2 linked regions of the Arabidopsis thaliana genome follow. The protein of the gene in region 1 interacts with the protein of each later gene in a pairwise test. Each region holds a gene or a part of one and is shown in the gene's direction. Other genes may lie near its edges.

The links. Proteins that work in one complex are often made in the same cells at the same time.
Region 2: the proteins of GTB1 (region 1) and IWS1 interact in a two-hybrid assay, tested with the Arabidopsis thaliana proteins (one study listed by BioGRID).

Annotation. Positions count from the first base shown.
Region 1 is NC_003070.9:24,308,856-24,316,464, reverse strand, and holds the start of GTB1 (global transcription factor group B1), read left to right. Parts: upstream 1-1,825; 5' UTR 1,826-1,933; exon of another isoform or gene 1,934-2,006; intron 2,007-2,086; 5' UTR 2,087-2,137; coding exon 2,138-2,168; intron 2,169-2,292; coding exon 2,293-2,385; intron 2,386-2,596; coding exon of another isoform or gene 2,597-2,638; intron 2,639-2,900; coding exon 2,901-3,030; intron 3,031-3,268; coding exon 3,269-3,332; intron 3,333-3,436; coding exon 3,437-3,587; intron 3,588-3,665; coding exon 3,666-3,786; intron 3,787-3,869; coding exon 3,870-4,107; intron 4,108-4,205; coding exon 4,206-4,394; intron 4,395-4,468; coding exon 4,469-4,576; intron 4,577-4,668; coding exon 4,669-5,055; intron 5,056-5,128; coding exon 5,129-5,236; intron 5,237-5,342; coding exon 5,343-6,122; intron 6,123-6,504; coding exon 6,505-7,609. Other genes in the region: GLC (HXXXD-type acyl-transferase family protein), read right to left, coding at 129-590. UniProt on the Arabidopsis thaliana protein: Transcription elongation factor that enhances the transcription elongation by RNA polymerase II (RNAPII).
Region 2 is NC_003070.9:11,556,984-11,565,340, reverse strand, and holds IWS1 (Transcription elongation factor (TFIIS) family protein), read left to right. Parts: upstream 1-3,441; 5' UTR 3,442-3,554; coding exon 3,555-3,574; intron 3,575-3,806; coding exon 3,807-4,263; intron 4,264-4,349; coding exon 4,350-4,469; intron 4,470-4,552; coding exon 4,553-4,773; intron 4,774-4,854; coding exon 4,855-4,984; intron 4,985-5,069; coding exon 5,070-5,132; intron 5,133-5,219; coding exon 5,220-5,297; intron 5,298-5,374; coding exon 5,375-5,466; intron 5,467-5,558; coding exon 5,559-5,615; intron 5,616-5,704; coding exon 5,705-5,876; intron 5,877-6,096; coding exon 6,097-6,195; 3' UTR 6,196-6,586; downstream 6,587-8,357. Other genes in the region: AT1G32140 (F-box family protein), read left to right, coding at 508-1,698, 2,015-2,599; AT1G32127 (plant viral-response family protein), read right to left, coding at 6,733-7,180, 7,820-8,166. UniProt on the Arabidopsis thaliana protein: Transcription factor involved in RNA polymerase II (RNAPII) transcription regulation. Involved in transcription elongation. May function at post-recruitment and elongation steps of transcription.

The DNA of each region.
Region 1 (7,609 bases):
TTTTCTTTCTTCCTGATTAAAAGACAAAACGCAAAGAGAACAAAAAAAAAACTTGTTATTTGTTAACTAGATTTAGGATCATTTTGGAACAAAAAAAATTAGAAAGCAAAGGTTTATTTATTGGTTACCTGAAAGACAAACAAGGGTTGATCATCTTTGGGCAAACTCTGAAGCTGACTTGTAACCAATTGAGCAAAAGCTGGATTTGGATAAACCAAATCTCCAAGTTCCTCCAACGTGTAGTCACTCGCCGCCGTCACAAAGCCAGCTCCAGCACCGTTACAGTCAACATCAAGCCGTCCAGAGCTAGGATCCACGCGGAGTCTCCCGGCCAAGAACTCATAAGCGTCCATGAGTTTCACCAACGCCTTTCTCAGCTTCTCCGAGACCATCTCCGGTGGAAACTCCTTGTTAGGTCGGAAGAAATGAACTGTTTGAACGTCAAAGTTGAGAATTTGGTCGACGTTGGATAAGAACATGGATTTTCTCTCGCTGGTTTCTTCAGATGGGAAAATGAGTGTTGATTCTTTGATCGTAACCTTAAGATCTTCAAGAAGCAACGGTGGAGATTCTTGGTACGAAGAACCCATTTTGCAACCCTTCTCTCTCTCTCTTTCTCTCTAAGTTAATTAGGTTTTGAGTGAAGTTTGTGATTTGGGTTTCAGACTTAATCTATATTATATAGACTAACACGTAGTAAAAGGCGTTTTTAATTTTATCTTGGCTTTATGATAATGTACGTGTACATTATAGTATGAAATAATCCATGGAGAGTAAATTATTGATCCCATAATAAATGTGACTTTTTAATAAAAAAAGATATGGTACGGATCGTTACAAGAACAAACAAAGCAGTTTCGTGCTACGTAGACGTCGTTTTTATCCAGTCACATGAAAACGTTATTCTTTAAAAGCTAAAATTGTCACTGTTGTATTATTGTGTTGTGTTTATAGATTTGGGAAGAATGATGGGCTGCATTGGTGGGTGTGAGTAGGGTTGGTGATTTATGTTTTTTAAAATTTGATAGGAGAACTTTGATATGTCGGTGTAGCTACATAATATGCATGTGATATATCAACCTTTTTGTTGTGATATTTGCCAAACTTTGACTTCTCCATTTGTGGTTTATGGAATAATACGATTTTTACCCATTTGCAGTATCTCATTACGGTTACAAACTTACAATCTACAATTAGTCTAGTTTCTAACCTTTTTCTTGCCATATTAAAAGGCATGAACTCAAAATATGGCCGAATCCAAGCCCGGCCCGTTCATAAAAAAGCCGAAACATTTGTTTTAGGCCACCTAATATAAAAAGTTTTTAGGGCCTCATGTGTAAAATTTGTCCTACAATATAATTTGTCTAGTGTTATATTTATTTTTATATATGTCCAAATGTTTATATTATTATCAACTTGTTATTTAATTTTAAATATATCAATTATAAGATTTAAAACTTTTTCACAGTTTAAAATTTTATATTTTTGATAAAATTAAATTGTTTAACTAAAAATTAAATTAATCTATAGACAAACTTTTAAATTTGAATCCGATTTAGATTTATTTTAATTTTATTTATCATATAAATTTAAATAATTGTTTAAACATTTTAGCCGATGTAACGTTTTTTTATTAATTATTAATGTATGTCTATTTTCTTATATTTCGAATTATCGAATTAAATATTCTCCACTCTAATTATAAGATAAGTTGAATAAACTTTGTTTTGTTTTTAGTCTCGACTTTTTTTTCTTTACATTTCTTCAAAAAGTATAATAATTTTTAAAAACATTATTAAAAAAAAAATATTTCTAAAACGCAGAGAAAAAATTGAGGCAAATCTGTCAGTATAAACTTGTAATTTCATCGTCTCCGTCTTCTTCTTCGTTTATCAGTTCTTCGTCGCCTTTCGCTTATGAAAAATTCACACTGGTAAAGCTTCTTCCTTTACCAAACCCATTTCTCTTCTCTAGCTCCTTCTGGGTTCTCTTTTCGAAGAACCCTAGTAATCGCGAGAACCTTCTTCCCCCTTTCTCTTCGCAAAATCAGAAATCATAATCACAATCTCTTCGTTTTTTTTTGCAGTTTGCAGGGCTAATTTCTGCGTTATCGTACTTCTAATTTGTTGAGATAAACATGGCGAGGAACGCAATCTCTGACGATGAAGGTACCTTAATCGCTTCGTCGCAAACCCTAATTTTTTTCTGTGTGAAACGCCGTAATAATACTAGGGTTTTGTTTATTTCTTCTGATTTGTATGAAAAAATTGAATCCTTTTCTCTTTTGCGTAGAGGATCATGAGCTTGAGGATGACGACGGAGAGCCAGTTCATGGAGATCCAGCTGAGCATGATGAAAACGATGATGAAGAAGATGATGATGACGGTATAAGTTTTTTCCTTGATTTTGACTTCTCCCAGTGAGAAATGTGTCGTCTTTCGTTTCTTTTTGCTTACCACCCTAAATCTGGAAGCTGTAGAGTCTGATTGCATCGAAGGAAATTAGTGGTATGGTTTGGTTTAGTACTGAAGCGCATGCAGTTCTTTGTCTTAAAATCGATTCATTTGGAGAAATTCTGCTGCATTTGCTCCATTAGAAGATGCAGTGTCTGGATTTGGCAACCAAAAAAAAAAAAAAAGTGAATGCATCTTGTTTCTTAGATGTTTACTTATCTGCTGCAAAGTCTCTCCTTCTACCACTTCTTGTTTCTATATTCTCTGTTTCATACGGTTGCTTGATTTGTTCCTTTTTAGACTTCATGGTTTCTGCAAGTTTTGAGCTGCACACATTTCTCTCACCTTGGGTTTGAGTATTTTTTTTTCTTTTTCTTTCTAGGCTTTTTAACTTAGATTCAGGCTATTTTTGTTCCATGATGTGGGATCCGTATATCTGTTTTGTAGTTGGGAATGAGTATGAGAATGATGGGTTCATAGTGAATGATGAAGACGAAGAGGAAGAAGAGGAAGAAGACGAAGAAAGGAAAGATAGCGATGAGGAGAGGCAGAAAAAGAAGAAGAAACGAAAGAAAAAGTGAATATTTTATATCCTTACTCATTCTCTTAGATTTTATCCTTTTCTAACATATGAAAAACTAAATGTTAGTGTTGACATGCATGATACTTTTGAAGAAATGTTCCCTTAATTCTCAGCAGTCTTTATTTGTGATTTTCATACATTGTTTGTGATGAGTATGTAAGTTACCATTAGACGAACTATAGCAGGTCTGTTCTCTTTCTGACTAACCTTCCATTTATGATAATTTTAATAGGGACGAAGGTCTTGATGAAGATGATTATTTGCTTCTACAAGATAACAACGTCAAATTCAAAAAGGTTAGTCATATTTGTGTATATAACAATACATCAGGATTTTGTAGATACACTAAAAATATATGTGCAGTACTAATACATTTGACTTTTTTCTTGAACCATGACAGAGGCAGTATAAGCGGTTGAAGAAAGCTCAAAGGGAACAGGGAAATGGCCAGGGAGAATCATCCGATGATGAGTTTGATAGTAGAGGTGGAACTAGGAGAAGTGCTGAGGATAAGATCAAAGACAGGCTGTTTGATGATGTTGATGTTGATGGTAGGTTCTCTGTGCCTTCTGATACTATTATGTTGACTGTTGGCACATAGTTGACTATGTACATTTTGTGTCTACTAGATCCACCTGATGATGTAGGTGATGAGGAAGACTTAGTTGTGGAAGAAGATGTAGTTGGGAGCGAGGATGAAATGGCAGATTTTATTGTAGATGAAGATGATGAGCATGGTCCTCCTAAGAGGTATTTTTTTTCTGTCTTTTTTGTGCCCTAACATATCACTTATGTCATGTACATTTTCTGATTCTAATCAACTTACTTTTCAGGGGCAACTCGAAGAAAAAGAAATATAGGCAGGGATCAGATATTACTGCTATGCGAGATGCTAATGAAATATTTGGTGATGTTGACGAATTATTAACAATTCGCAAAAAGGGTTTGGCATCTAATCAAAGGATGGAAAGAAGGCTCGAAGATGAGTTTGAACCAACTGTTCTTTCTGAGAAATATATGACAGGGAATGATGATGAAATCCGCCAGCTTGATATTCCTGAGAGAATGCAGGTGCATTATCTTCTTTAGTTTTCTCTATGTATACTTGTGGTCTATGTTTTCTTTGGTGTTCAAGGATAGATGTAAAGATATCTTGTAAACTTTGACAGATATCTGAAGAAAGCACCGGAAGCCCTCCTGTAGATGAAATTAGCATTGAAGAAGAAAGCAATTGGATATATGCTCAACTTGCTTCCCAACTTAGAGAATCTGATGGAACTTTTGATGGGCGGGGTTTCTCGGTTAATAAGGATGACATCGCAAAATTTTTGGAGCTACATCATGTGCAGAAATTAGAGGTTTTGGATTCATTCTCTCGTTGGATTTTCTTTGATTCATTGATTAGCTTGCTAATGTTTTCTGTCTCTTCTAGATACCGTTTATAGCTATGTACCGAAAGGAGCAATGCCGGAGCTTGTTGGACACTGGTGATTTTGATGGCGCCAATCAAGGCAAGAAACCTGAGACCAAGTGGCATAAGGTAAGCAATTATCTTGGATAAACAACAAGTGCTCAGGTTAACATTTATTGTCAGAGGAAATTTGGTGGATTCTATACTATTTTCCAATGCAGGTCTTCTGGATGATTCATGACTTGGATAAGAAGTGGCTCCTTCTTCGAAAAAGGAAAATGGCGTTGCATGGTTACTATACAAAACGTTACGAAGAAGAGTCTAGGAGGGTCTATGATGAAACAAGACTTAATCTAAATCAGTATCTTTTTGAATCAGTCATTAAGTCTCTTAAAGTTGCAGAAACAGAAAGAGAAGTTGATGATGTAGATTCCAAGTTCAACTTGCATTTTCCTCCCGGTGAAATTGGTGTTGATGAAGGGCAGTATAAGAGGCCGAAAAGGAAATCACAATATAGCATCTGCAGTAAAGCAGGGCTCTGGGAGGTTGCAAACAAATTTGGGTATAGTGCTGAGCAACTGGGACTTGCATTGTCCCTAGAAAAACTGGTCGGTATGCTTTTATATTGTTTGATTTGCATGTTGTACTGGAATGGCAGTTCTGACGCTAAATGAGTTGCAGGTTGATGAGCTTGAGGATGCAAAGGAAACACCAGAGGAGATGGCTAAAAACTTTGTGTGCGCAATGTTTGAAAATTCTCTGGCAGTTCTGAAAGGTGCACGGCATATGGTATATACTCTGCAATAATACTATTTTTTGAATTGCTTAGCTGGGTTTAATATCAGAAGGACTTCCCTAATCACTAATGCGGAGATATCCCATTTTTCCTTGTTAGGCTGCAGTTGAGATAAGTTGCGAGCCATCAGTCAAAAAGTATGTCCGTGGCATTTATATGGAGAATGCAGTGGTCTCAACAAGTCCAACAGCAGATGGAAATACAGTAATTGATTCGTTCCATCAGTTTTCTGGGATTAAGTGGTTGCGTGAAAAGCCATTGAGCAAGTTTGAGGGTGCACAATGGCTTCTCATTCAGAAGGGAGAAGAGGAGAAACTTCTTCAAGTAACCTTCAAGCTGCCTGAGAATTACATGAATAGGCTAATTAGCGACTGCAATGAACACTATCTAAGTGTTGGTGTTAGTAAGTATGCTCAACTCTGGAATGAGCAAAGAAAGTTGATATTGGAGGATGCACTTCATGCTTTTCTTTTGCCATCAATGGAGAAAGAAGCAAGATCCTTGCTAACTAGCAGAGCGAAGAGTCGGTTGCTTTCAGAGTATGGACAGGCTTTGTGGAACAAGGTGTCTGCAGGGCCATACCAAAAGAAAGAAATGGACATTAATTTAGATGAGGAAGCTGCACCGAGGGTCATGGCATGTTGTTGGGGACCTGGGAAGCCACCAAATACATTTGTGATGCTGGACTCATCAGGTGAGGTGCTTGACGTGCTTTATGCTGGATCCCTTACATCGCGATCTCAAAATGTTAACGACCAGCAACGTAAAAAGAGTGACCAGGATCGTGTTTTAAAGTTTATGATGGACCACCAACCGCATGTTGTGGCTTTAGGAGCTGTCAATTTGTCTTGTACTCGTCTGAAGGATGATATTTATGAGGTAAGACTTCATATACCATAATGACACTATGTTCGTTGACTTATGCTATTGCAATGTACATGTTCCGAGTTTGATCTTGAGATAAAGGACCTATATCCATATGGTTCTGGATAACTGTGGTCACTGGTTTACTTAATTAGTTCCTCAGTGCCTACTTTGTAGAGACCTGGATTTTGTGTGTTTTTCATCAATACTTTCAAACTCGCTATACCTTTTTAGACTTCAACTGCTTTACCGAAAATGATAATGTTATATATCTGATGAAATAAGCTTAAGTTTCTGCTTTTATATCACTTTGTGAAAACTTAATCGCTGTGTTTCAATTTTCATAACTACTCCTCTTGAATAGTAAAATTTTGTTATGCTTTATTCTATATATCAGGTCATATTCCAGATGGTGGAGGAAAAACCTAGAGATGTCGGACATGGGATGGATGATTTAAGCATTGTTTATGTGGATGAATCACTTCCTAGGCTATATGAAAATTCTCGAATCTCGGGTGAACAGCTACCTCAGCAGTCAGGGAACGTGAGACGTGCAGTTGCTCTTGGACGCTATCTCCAGAATCCACTAGCAATGGTGGCAACTTTATGCGGTCCAGGTCGGGAAATTTTGTCTTGGAAGCTTCATCCCTTGGAGAATTTTCTTCAGCTAGATGAGAAGTATGGAATGGTTGAGCAGGTTATGGTTGACATTACAAACCAGGTTGGAATCGATATTAACTTGGCAGCTAGCCATGATTGGTTCTTTTCTCCTTTACAGTTCATTTCTGGACTTGGGCCTCGGAAAGCTGCATCCTTGCAGAGGTCGCTTGTAAGAGCTGGTTCAATCTTTGTCCGCAAGGACCTGATAATGCATGGACTTGGTAAAAAGGTTTTTGTAAATGCTGCCGGTTTCTTGCGCATCCGCAGAAGTGGGCTGGCTGCTAGTAGCAGTCAATTTATTGACTTATTGGATGACACCAGAATCCATCCAGAGTCGTATAGTCTTGCTCAAGAATTGGCGAAAGATATATATGATGAGGATGTCAGAGGTGATTCAAATGATGATGAGGATGCGATAGAAATGGCTATTGAGCATGTGAGAGATCGGCCAGCTTCTTTGAGAAAAGTTGTCCTTGATGAATATCTTGCCAGCAAGAAACGGGAGAATAAGAAGGAAACTTATAGCAATATCATAAGAGAATTAAGTTGTGGTTTCCAGGATTGGCGGATACCATTTAAAGAGCCAAGTCCAGATGAAGAATTTTACATGATTTCAGGTGAAACTGAGGACACCATAGCGGAGGGCAGAATTGTCCAGGCCAGTGTTCGGAGATTGCAGAATGGAAGAGCCATATGTGTATTAGATTCTGGGTTAACTGGGATGCTTATGAAGGAAGATTTCTCAGATGATGGGAGAGATATTGTTGACTTGGCGGACCAGCTGAAAGAAGGCGATATCCTCACATGCAAGATCAAATCGATTCAAAAGCAGAGGTATCAAG
Region 2 (8,357 bases), about 13 Mb from region 1:
AGTGAACCAGATTTAAACCGGATTATTGTTGACGTGAGGCTTACGGGATTCGATAGAGAAAAAGTAGAAATAGTGTGAATTCTAGGGTTTAATAAAGGATTATTAGACTCACGAAGAAGAAGAAGATAGTAGTATTCCTATCATATTAAAAACAAATACGTATATGTGTAAGATCCACCATAGTCGATACAAACTAATAACTCCGATGATAGCAATTAGCAAGAATGCTTTCTCATAAAAGGAAATTACCATTTTACTAACTTAGTGAGAAAGTTTTTTACTTTTAACAATTAATATCGATTATAATTTATAAACCACATAAATATTATTATTTTTGTTGCAAAATAAACCACATATTTATTTATCTTATGAAAGTAAGAATTTTTTTTTGTATAGAAAAAGTAAAACCCTAGTGAGGAAGGTGTGTCTTCTTTCTGATGCACATATAATCCTCGTAAAAAAGAGTGGTGGGCGTGAAAGTTAACCCTAATTTTCTATTTGCAAACAATGACGATGATGTCCGACCTTTCACTTGATTTAGTCGAAGAGATATTGTGTAGGGTTCCGATAACTTCTCTTAAAGCAGTGAGATCTAGTTGCAAACTATGGAACGTTCTTTCCAAGAACCGGATTTTATGTAAAACAGAAGCTAGAAATCAGTTTTTAGGGTTCACGATAATGAATCATAGGCTTTATTCCATGAGATTCAATCTCCATGGAATCGGCCTCAATGAAAACAGTGAAGAGTTCATTGATCCATCTATAAAGCCAATAGGTAATTTACTTAATCAAGTCGAGATATCTAAAGTGTTTTATTGCGAAGGTTTATTGTTATGCGTCACAAGGAACCACTCAAGCAAGCTCGTAGTTTGGAACCCGTATTTGGGAGAAATTCGTTGGATCAAAACTAGGAATGATTACCACATAGGCGTTACATATGCTCTCGGGTACGACAACAACAAGAACCACATGATCTTGAGGTTTTTTTCTGAACAAGGCTACTACGAGATTTACGACATGAACTCTTCTGACTCATGGGATTGTTTTTATGGCATTCCCAACAAGGGGTTAAAATGTTATCAGCCCGGCGCGTCGTTAAATGGAAATGCTTATTTTTTGACTGAGGGAAGAGAAGTAATGGAAGGGTATGATTGCTTACTCGGTTTTGATTTTACAACAAAGAAATTTGGACCACTTCTTTCTTTGTCGTTTTCGCATGATTTTATAGAGACTGGGAGACTATCTTGTGTTAAAGGAGAGAAACTTGCGGTCTTATATCAGCGCTGCTATACCTATGAGATGGAGGTATGGGTGACAACTAAGATAGAGCCGAATGCGGTGTCATGGAGCAAATTCTTAGCAGTTGAAATGGAACCACTCACTAGTCTAAAGTTTAACGATGATTCTGGCAGTTTCTTCATTGACGAAGAGAAGAAAATCGTCGTGGTTTTTGATATAGACGAATCTGAACGCAACAATACGGCTTACATCATTGGAGATTATGGATGCTTGAAAGAAGTTGATCTTGATGAAGTTGTGAACCCACAAGAATCTGTGGAGGTCGGAGACCGCATTTATTCTTTTTCACCATTTGTGTGCTCTTGCTCTTATGTTCCAAGTTTAGTGAAATTTAAAGAAGATGCAGAACATGAAAGGAAAGATAAGAAGAGGAAGAGTAAGAGGAAGCGAACCAACAAGGTGTATCTCTACTAGTTGAAGGAAAGAAGAAGACTAATTGATGATTTCATTTTCATGCGTTTTTTTTTTTTTTGGTTTTGTAATGTCCTTTGAACAAGATTAGTCGATTATTATTTTGTTTCTGAGTCAGAACCATGTGATAAAAAACTACTCGTACGAGAAAGTTCTTCTCCACTTGAACTAACTTCTTCTATCCCCTCCCCCACCAAAGATAAATGTCTCAAAAACGCATCGTTACAGGCGCTTGGATATGTTAAGAGTTCTTGTAGATAAAAAAACAATAGTTACTCTTTCCCATGGTGATAAAAATTTATAGGATGGATATGATTTTATACTGTGTTTTGATTTTACAACCGAGAGATTTGGACAGATTCTTCCTCTGCCGTTTAAACATTCTTTTAGGGATACTTGGACTCTATCTTCTGTTAAAGAAGAGAAACTTGCAGTCGCAGTGTTATACTGGAAAAATACATGTGTGATGATAGAGATATGGATGACAATTAAGATTGATCCTAATGTCGAGTCGTGGAGCAAATTCTTAAGAGTTGATAGGAAACCATGCATTGATCTTCGCTTTGATGATCGTAATGACAGTTTTTTCATTGACGAAGAGAAGAAAGTTGTCGTGTTTTTTAGTTCAGACAAAGTTAAAACCTCTACGGCTTACGTCATTGGAGATAATAGATATTTGAGAACAGTGGATCTTGAAAAAGCTGCAAACTCCCAAGAATCTGTGGAGGTCGGAGAACGCGTGTATTGTTTTTCGCCGCTTGTGTGCTCTTGCTCTTATTATGTTCCAAGTTTGGTGAAAATCAACCACAATGCAGGACGCAAAAGGAAAGAGAAGAAGACGAAGCGCAAAAGTAAAGACAAGCAGATGAAACTAAGCAACAAGGTGTAACACTAGCAATGCTTATATCTTTCTTGCATTTCATTTTGATTTTTTTTTCTTCTTTTCTTTTGCAATGTTCTCTAAACAAAACTAGTCAATATTCGATCTTTATTTTGTTTCTGTTTAGTTCTCTTAATATAGGAACCTGGATTTTGCTTTCCACAATGCTATGTATTAATTAGTTCCAACACTTGGTATAGAGACAACGACCATGACTGTTTCTCGAATAGGGGCTTAAACCGTTCAAGATAATTATATGACGGAAGGTTCCTAGATATGTTAGAATCATGACGAGTACGAGGACTTTGAACACTTGTATAATGTAGATGAATGAGTCAATAGAGAGACAAAATATGCGGGATTCAAAATGTTTTTTTTTTTATAAATCCTCGGTCCATGTATACAGAGCAACATCCTCAAATATATGTTGTAATGCACCAATTTAAGACGTTAAGCTAATGCAATCAAGATTCATACTTGAATTCAAATTCGTTAACATCAATCTTAGGCACCAAGCCCTCTTATGCTTTAGAAAGCATATATGCCATTCAAAGTTTGATATCGATTTAACCATTTTTGATGTATAGATTATAAACATCCCCAAACCATCAATATTTATTTGTAGTCGGTTCAAACGACAAGTAAAAGTTAGTCACAACTCACAACTCCTCTCACAAGTAATTGATCTAATGTTTTGTCTCTTTTGACTAGAGACAGTTGACTTTGTTAACACGAAGTCAATAGTCAATACTAATTAATTGCTGTTACTCAGAGAATTGATGACGTGGCGAGATCTAAACTGTTAAAATAATTCTTCAATCGTGACCGTCGAATATTCCATAGTAGCCCGATCCCAAATTCTTCCTTCCCTTCCCTTCCCTCCTCTTCGCCTCTCACAACAACTCGAAGATCAAAGAATTCGTAAATTATCTCTTTCGAATCATTTTCTGGAAGCTGAGAAGAAATGGGTTTCGAGGATGATCCGTAAATTCTAATCCTTTCTCTTCGATTTCATATTTTTAGCTTCGTTGTGCAGATAAAAATCCCACCTTTGATTGAATCTAGGGTTACCAAAATCGATCTCTTTTCAATTTCCCAAATTTCGATTTCGTTTTTGTGAAAAGAGAGTGTTTTGATTCATGGGCAGATTCAATCTCCTATTGATTTGAATCCTTTGTGTTTCAGATTCATAAGATTTTGTATTTTTTTTTTCCAGGTACCGTGATGTAGATGGAGAGCCAATAGTGGACTTTGATGATTTTGGGAATGATCGCGAGCCATCTACAGAGCCACTTCAGGATTTTGATGAAGATCTGGCTGATGATATTGGAGATTGGGATGGTGAAGGATCACAAACGCCTGTTTATGATAATGATAAAGTAGCTAAACCAAGGAAGAGATTGGTGAAGAAATCTTCTAGTGAACGTGTGACTATTGATGTTCCGGAATTGATTGATGAGGATGTGGATGATGCTGAGTTTGATGAGTTTATGGGAGGAAGAGGTGGTGGTAGTACTGATTATGATGATAAGGTTGGTAGGAAGAGGAAGAAGGAGAAAGAGAGAAGTAGTAGTGGTAGTGGGAAGGAGAAGAGGCATAAGTTTCCGAATCGTGGCGAAAGGAAGTCAGAAGAGATTGATGAGATGTGGAAATCTATTGCTCATAACCCAGAGGTGCAGTAGATTGACTATAGTTATAAGATTGCCTGAGAGAGAATTTTGTTTTTTCGACTTATAAAAGTGTTTCGTTTCTGTTGTAGAATGATGAAGAAGGTGTTAGGACTATGGATGATGATAATTTCATTGACGATACTGGTTTGGATCCTTCTGAGAGGTATGGAGGTGACGCTGGAGACCGTTCTCCAACTCATTATCCTCAGGTATGAGTAGTGTATCTTCAATTTTGATCTTTGAGTCTAGCTTTTGTTTGTTGATACAAAATGCTTTTGTTATGAATAAACAGGCAGAAGAGGGTGAGGATGAAGATGAGGTAAATAACCTTTTCAAAATGGGGAAGAAAAAGAAAAAGACTGAAAGAAATCCTGCGGAAATTGCGCTTTTGGTTGAGAATGTGATGGCTGAGCTTGAGGTTACTGCTGAGGAAGATGCAGAACTTAATAGACAGGGGAAGCCTGCTATCAACAAGCTTAAGAAACTTTCGCTTCTTACCGATGTACTTGGAAAGTAAGTTGCTAACTTACTGTTATCTTATACTGTTTCTTTCTAACAATCTGTTTTGTAATACGTTTATTTTTCGTTATCCAGGAAGCAGCTTCAAACAGAATTCCTGGACCATGGAGTTTTAACCCTGTTGAAGAATTGGCTTGAGCCTCTTCCAGATGGAAGCTTGCCAAATATAAACATCCGTGCAGCTATTCTAAGAGTTCTTACTGATGTATGCTCTTGTTTTCCTGTTGAGGGTTTTTCCGTGATTTTGAGCCTTTTTAGCTGCTTTACCAATTACTGAGTCTGTCTTGCAGTTTCCGATTGACTTGGACCAGTATGATAGAAGGGAGCAATTGAAAAAGAGTGGGCTTGGAAAGGTTAGGATACATTACCTGATTCAAATTGACAAGAATCGGTATGTAGGATTTATACTCAGGAACTTAAATTTGTTCTGGCTTTGGCAGGTCATTATGTTCTTATCAAAGTCCGACGAGGAAACTAATTCCAACAGACGACTTGCTAAGGATTTGGTTGATAAATGGGTAATCATCTTTTTCAAGAGCTCCAATCCCTCGAATCAAATTCCAGCCAGTTACTTACTGTATACTTGATGATGCAGTCTCGTCCAATTTTCAACAAGAGTACTAGGTTTGAGGACATGAGAAATCTCGATGAAGATAGGGTTCCCTATAGAAGACCACCAGTGAAGAAGTATTTCCCGAAACCTTTATTTTTTTTATTTTACTCGCTTTCACATTTCATATACTGATTCATAGCTTCTCTTCTTGTTCTACTGGGGATAGACCTAGCAACAAAGCGACAATGGAGTCCAGAGATGGTGACTTTGACTTGGAAATTCGGTATGGAAAAAATCTTCCAAATTTGTAGATATATGAACTTCTAAAAGTTATGTTTTAACATTACTCATTGTTTGTTGAAAAATATGCAGGGAACGTAAAACTGGTCTGACTTCGGGTCAGAGTTCAAGGGGAGACAGGCAAATGACGATGAGGCCGGAAGCAACCCCATTGGACTTTTTGATCCGTCCTCAATCCAAGATTGATCCAGATGAGATCATAGCCCGTGCAAAACAGGTTTCTCAGGACCAGCGTCGGGTCAAGGTAAAAAGACTTCTACCGTTTATCTTTTTTTCACTGACAAACAAAACACCATCTAAGTACTGATTTGGTATGGTAAATACAAGTGAAATCCTTTTCAAGAAAGCCTTGTACTGGCTCAAAATCTGAGACCTTTTTGTGACAGTATATAAACAAAAACCCTTTGTTGCTCTTTCTTTTCTCTAATAGTCCTTGAGCTGGTTCTTTTGTGTTATAACTGCAGATGAACAAGAAACTTCAGCAGCTAAAAGGAACAAAGAAGAAGCGGCTACAAGCTACGAAAGTGAGCGTTGAAGGTCGGGGTATGATCAAGTACCTCTAGAGAGGTTACAACCAGACCATACCATCCATCCACATTGAAATTGGTTCCTTCTATCGTGTTAATCTTCCAACTTTGCTTGGATCAGTGTTTAAAGGTCTTTCAGGTGAAGTCGAAGACTTAAAGGCATTGGGGTTATACGTATATGTACTCTTCTATATATGCTTTGCTTTGAGCCTCTAATGTAATGGGAAGTGAAAACACTTTGTTCGTCACTTCTTTCTTCAGAGCATAAAATATTATGATAATCAATTTTCAGTGAGTTTTCAATAAACACTTTGTCCTCTTTCTTTGAGATTCATCTTTCTGCTATATTGTTTGTTAGAAAATAAAGCAATGACACTAAATAACTCAAAATTGGCTCGTTATTTGCAGACACAAAGACTACTTTTATGTGTGTTTCACAAGTTTTGGTTGCTTGAAACGGAAACGCCTCCAAATGCAGATGAAGAAAAAAAGACTATTACTTTATTTCTTTCTGAAATTCAGAAACAAAGAAGAAGAGGAAAACAAAATCCTAATTTCTACTTACTAAATCTCTCATCTACTTACTCCAAATCTTGAAGCTGCAAAAACATATGAACCCACAACGCAAACAAGAACAGCAAGAACCAATGAAAAGAGCTGAAAATTAGCCAGAAACTCTCCTGAGACTTCTGAATCAACTGATCTGCAAACTACAGAGTTTTGTTTTAAACTGCAGCCTTGAGGCATCATAGGGCCATACAGAGTGAAAGCTGTCTGATAAAACCAGAGGCCTTGAAGAGTCATTGCAATGCCATTGCATAGATCTACTGGGAAGCTTGTAGGGCAGATTGCTCCAGCGATTGAGGAGATGACGCAGAGACCGATGAGAAAGACGAGGAGGAGATGGTAATAACCTTCAAGACCTTTGTGGCTTGTGGAGTGGAAGAAGAAGAGAAGACACTCTGCCGTAAAAGCTGTTGCAGCGATTAGACACAGAGCTTCTTGTGGCAGAGGAAGTAACCTAAGACAAAAAATAAAGCATCATGATGAATAAATTGATTCATATATATTCGTCTACATCAATTTCTATGGTTGTTTTATTAACAATCAAGTCAAGAATCACTAGTAAACCACTTTTGAGTTCAATACCACCAAAGATCCGACCTAACTTCAGAGCTAAATACCAAAGTTGATGTATCTATCTATAGTCAAATCATATATTATCAACGATCTAGATCTAACAACCATAGTCTAGAATAATGAATATTTAGGATCAAAATTCACCCAAGATCCAACCTAACTTTAAAGTTATATACCAATCTTGACGATTGATTTATTGATAATCTTATTATCAATGATCAAGATCCATTTCTAGGATAGTTTTCATTGAAAACCAAGTCAAGAATCATTAGTTAATTATTTTTGAGTTCTCAAAATCACCAAGGATCCAACCTAACTTCAAAGAAAAATACCAATCTTGATGAATCTATCAATAACTGAATCATATTATCAACGATCTAGATCCATTTCTAGGATAGTTTTCATCAAAAACCAAGTCAAGAATCACTTTAAACAACTTTTGATTTCTCAACTCACCAAAGATCCAACCCATAACTATCATTGCCATAAATGGTATCATTAAACAGAACATTTTTAATACCTTGTTTTCTCGGAGAGCAAAGCGATAAATCCGAGGATGAAGAACATGAGAAGCATCCCAGAGTGCTCAAAGTCATTCATATGGGAAGGATTCAAAACACCATTAACAAAGAACTTGAGATGAGTTGAATACAAGAACTCAATGCACAAGTCAATGAACGAGCCAATAGTAACAACGTAAAGCTCCAAGTACTTGATCCTATCATTGAAACCAGGAACAGGATGCCAAACTCTAACCCGAAATGAACTAGGATTCGATATGTATCTAACAACTGAGCTCCAAATGTGCCATACTCCAACTACCAAGAACAATGTACCAGGCAAAGCATGACCCTTGAAAGAACCCATCTTTCTTACAATTCCTGATCAAGATAGAACATTCACTATCAAGAGAAAGCTACAGATTCCAAACCCATAATCCAAAGAGAGGAGTATATATATATACCCTGTAAGGAAATTGCAGATCAGATTCTTCTTTTGTCGATTTCGATCAAAAGATAAACCCAACTTCTCAGAAAAGTCAAGAGTCGTCGATGAAA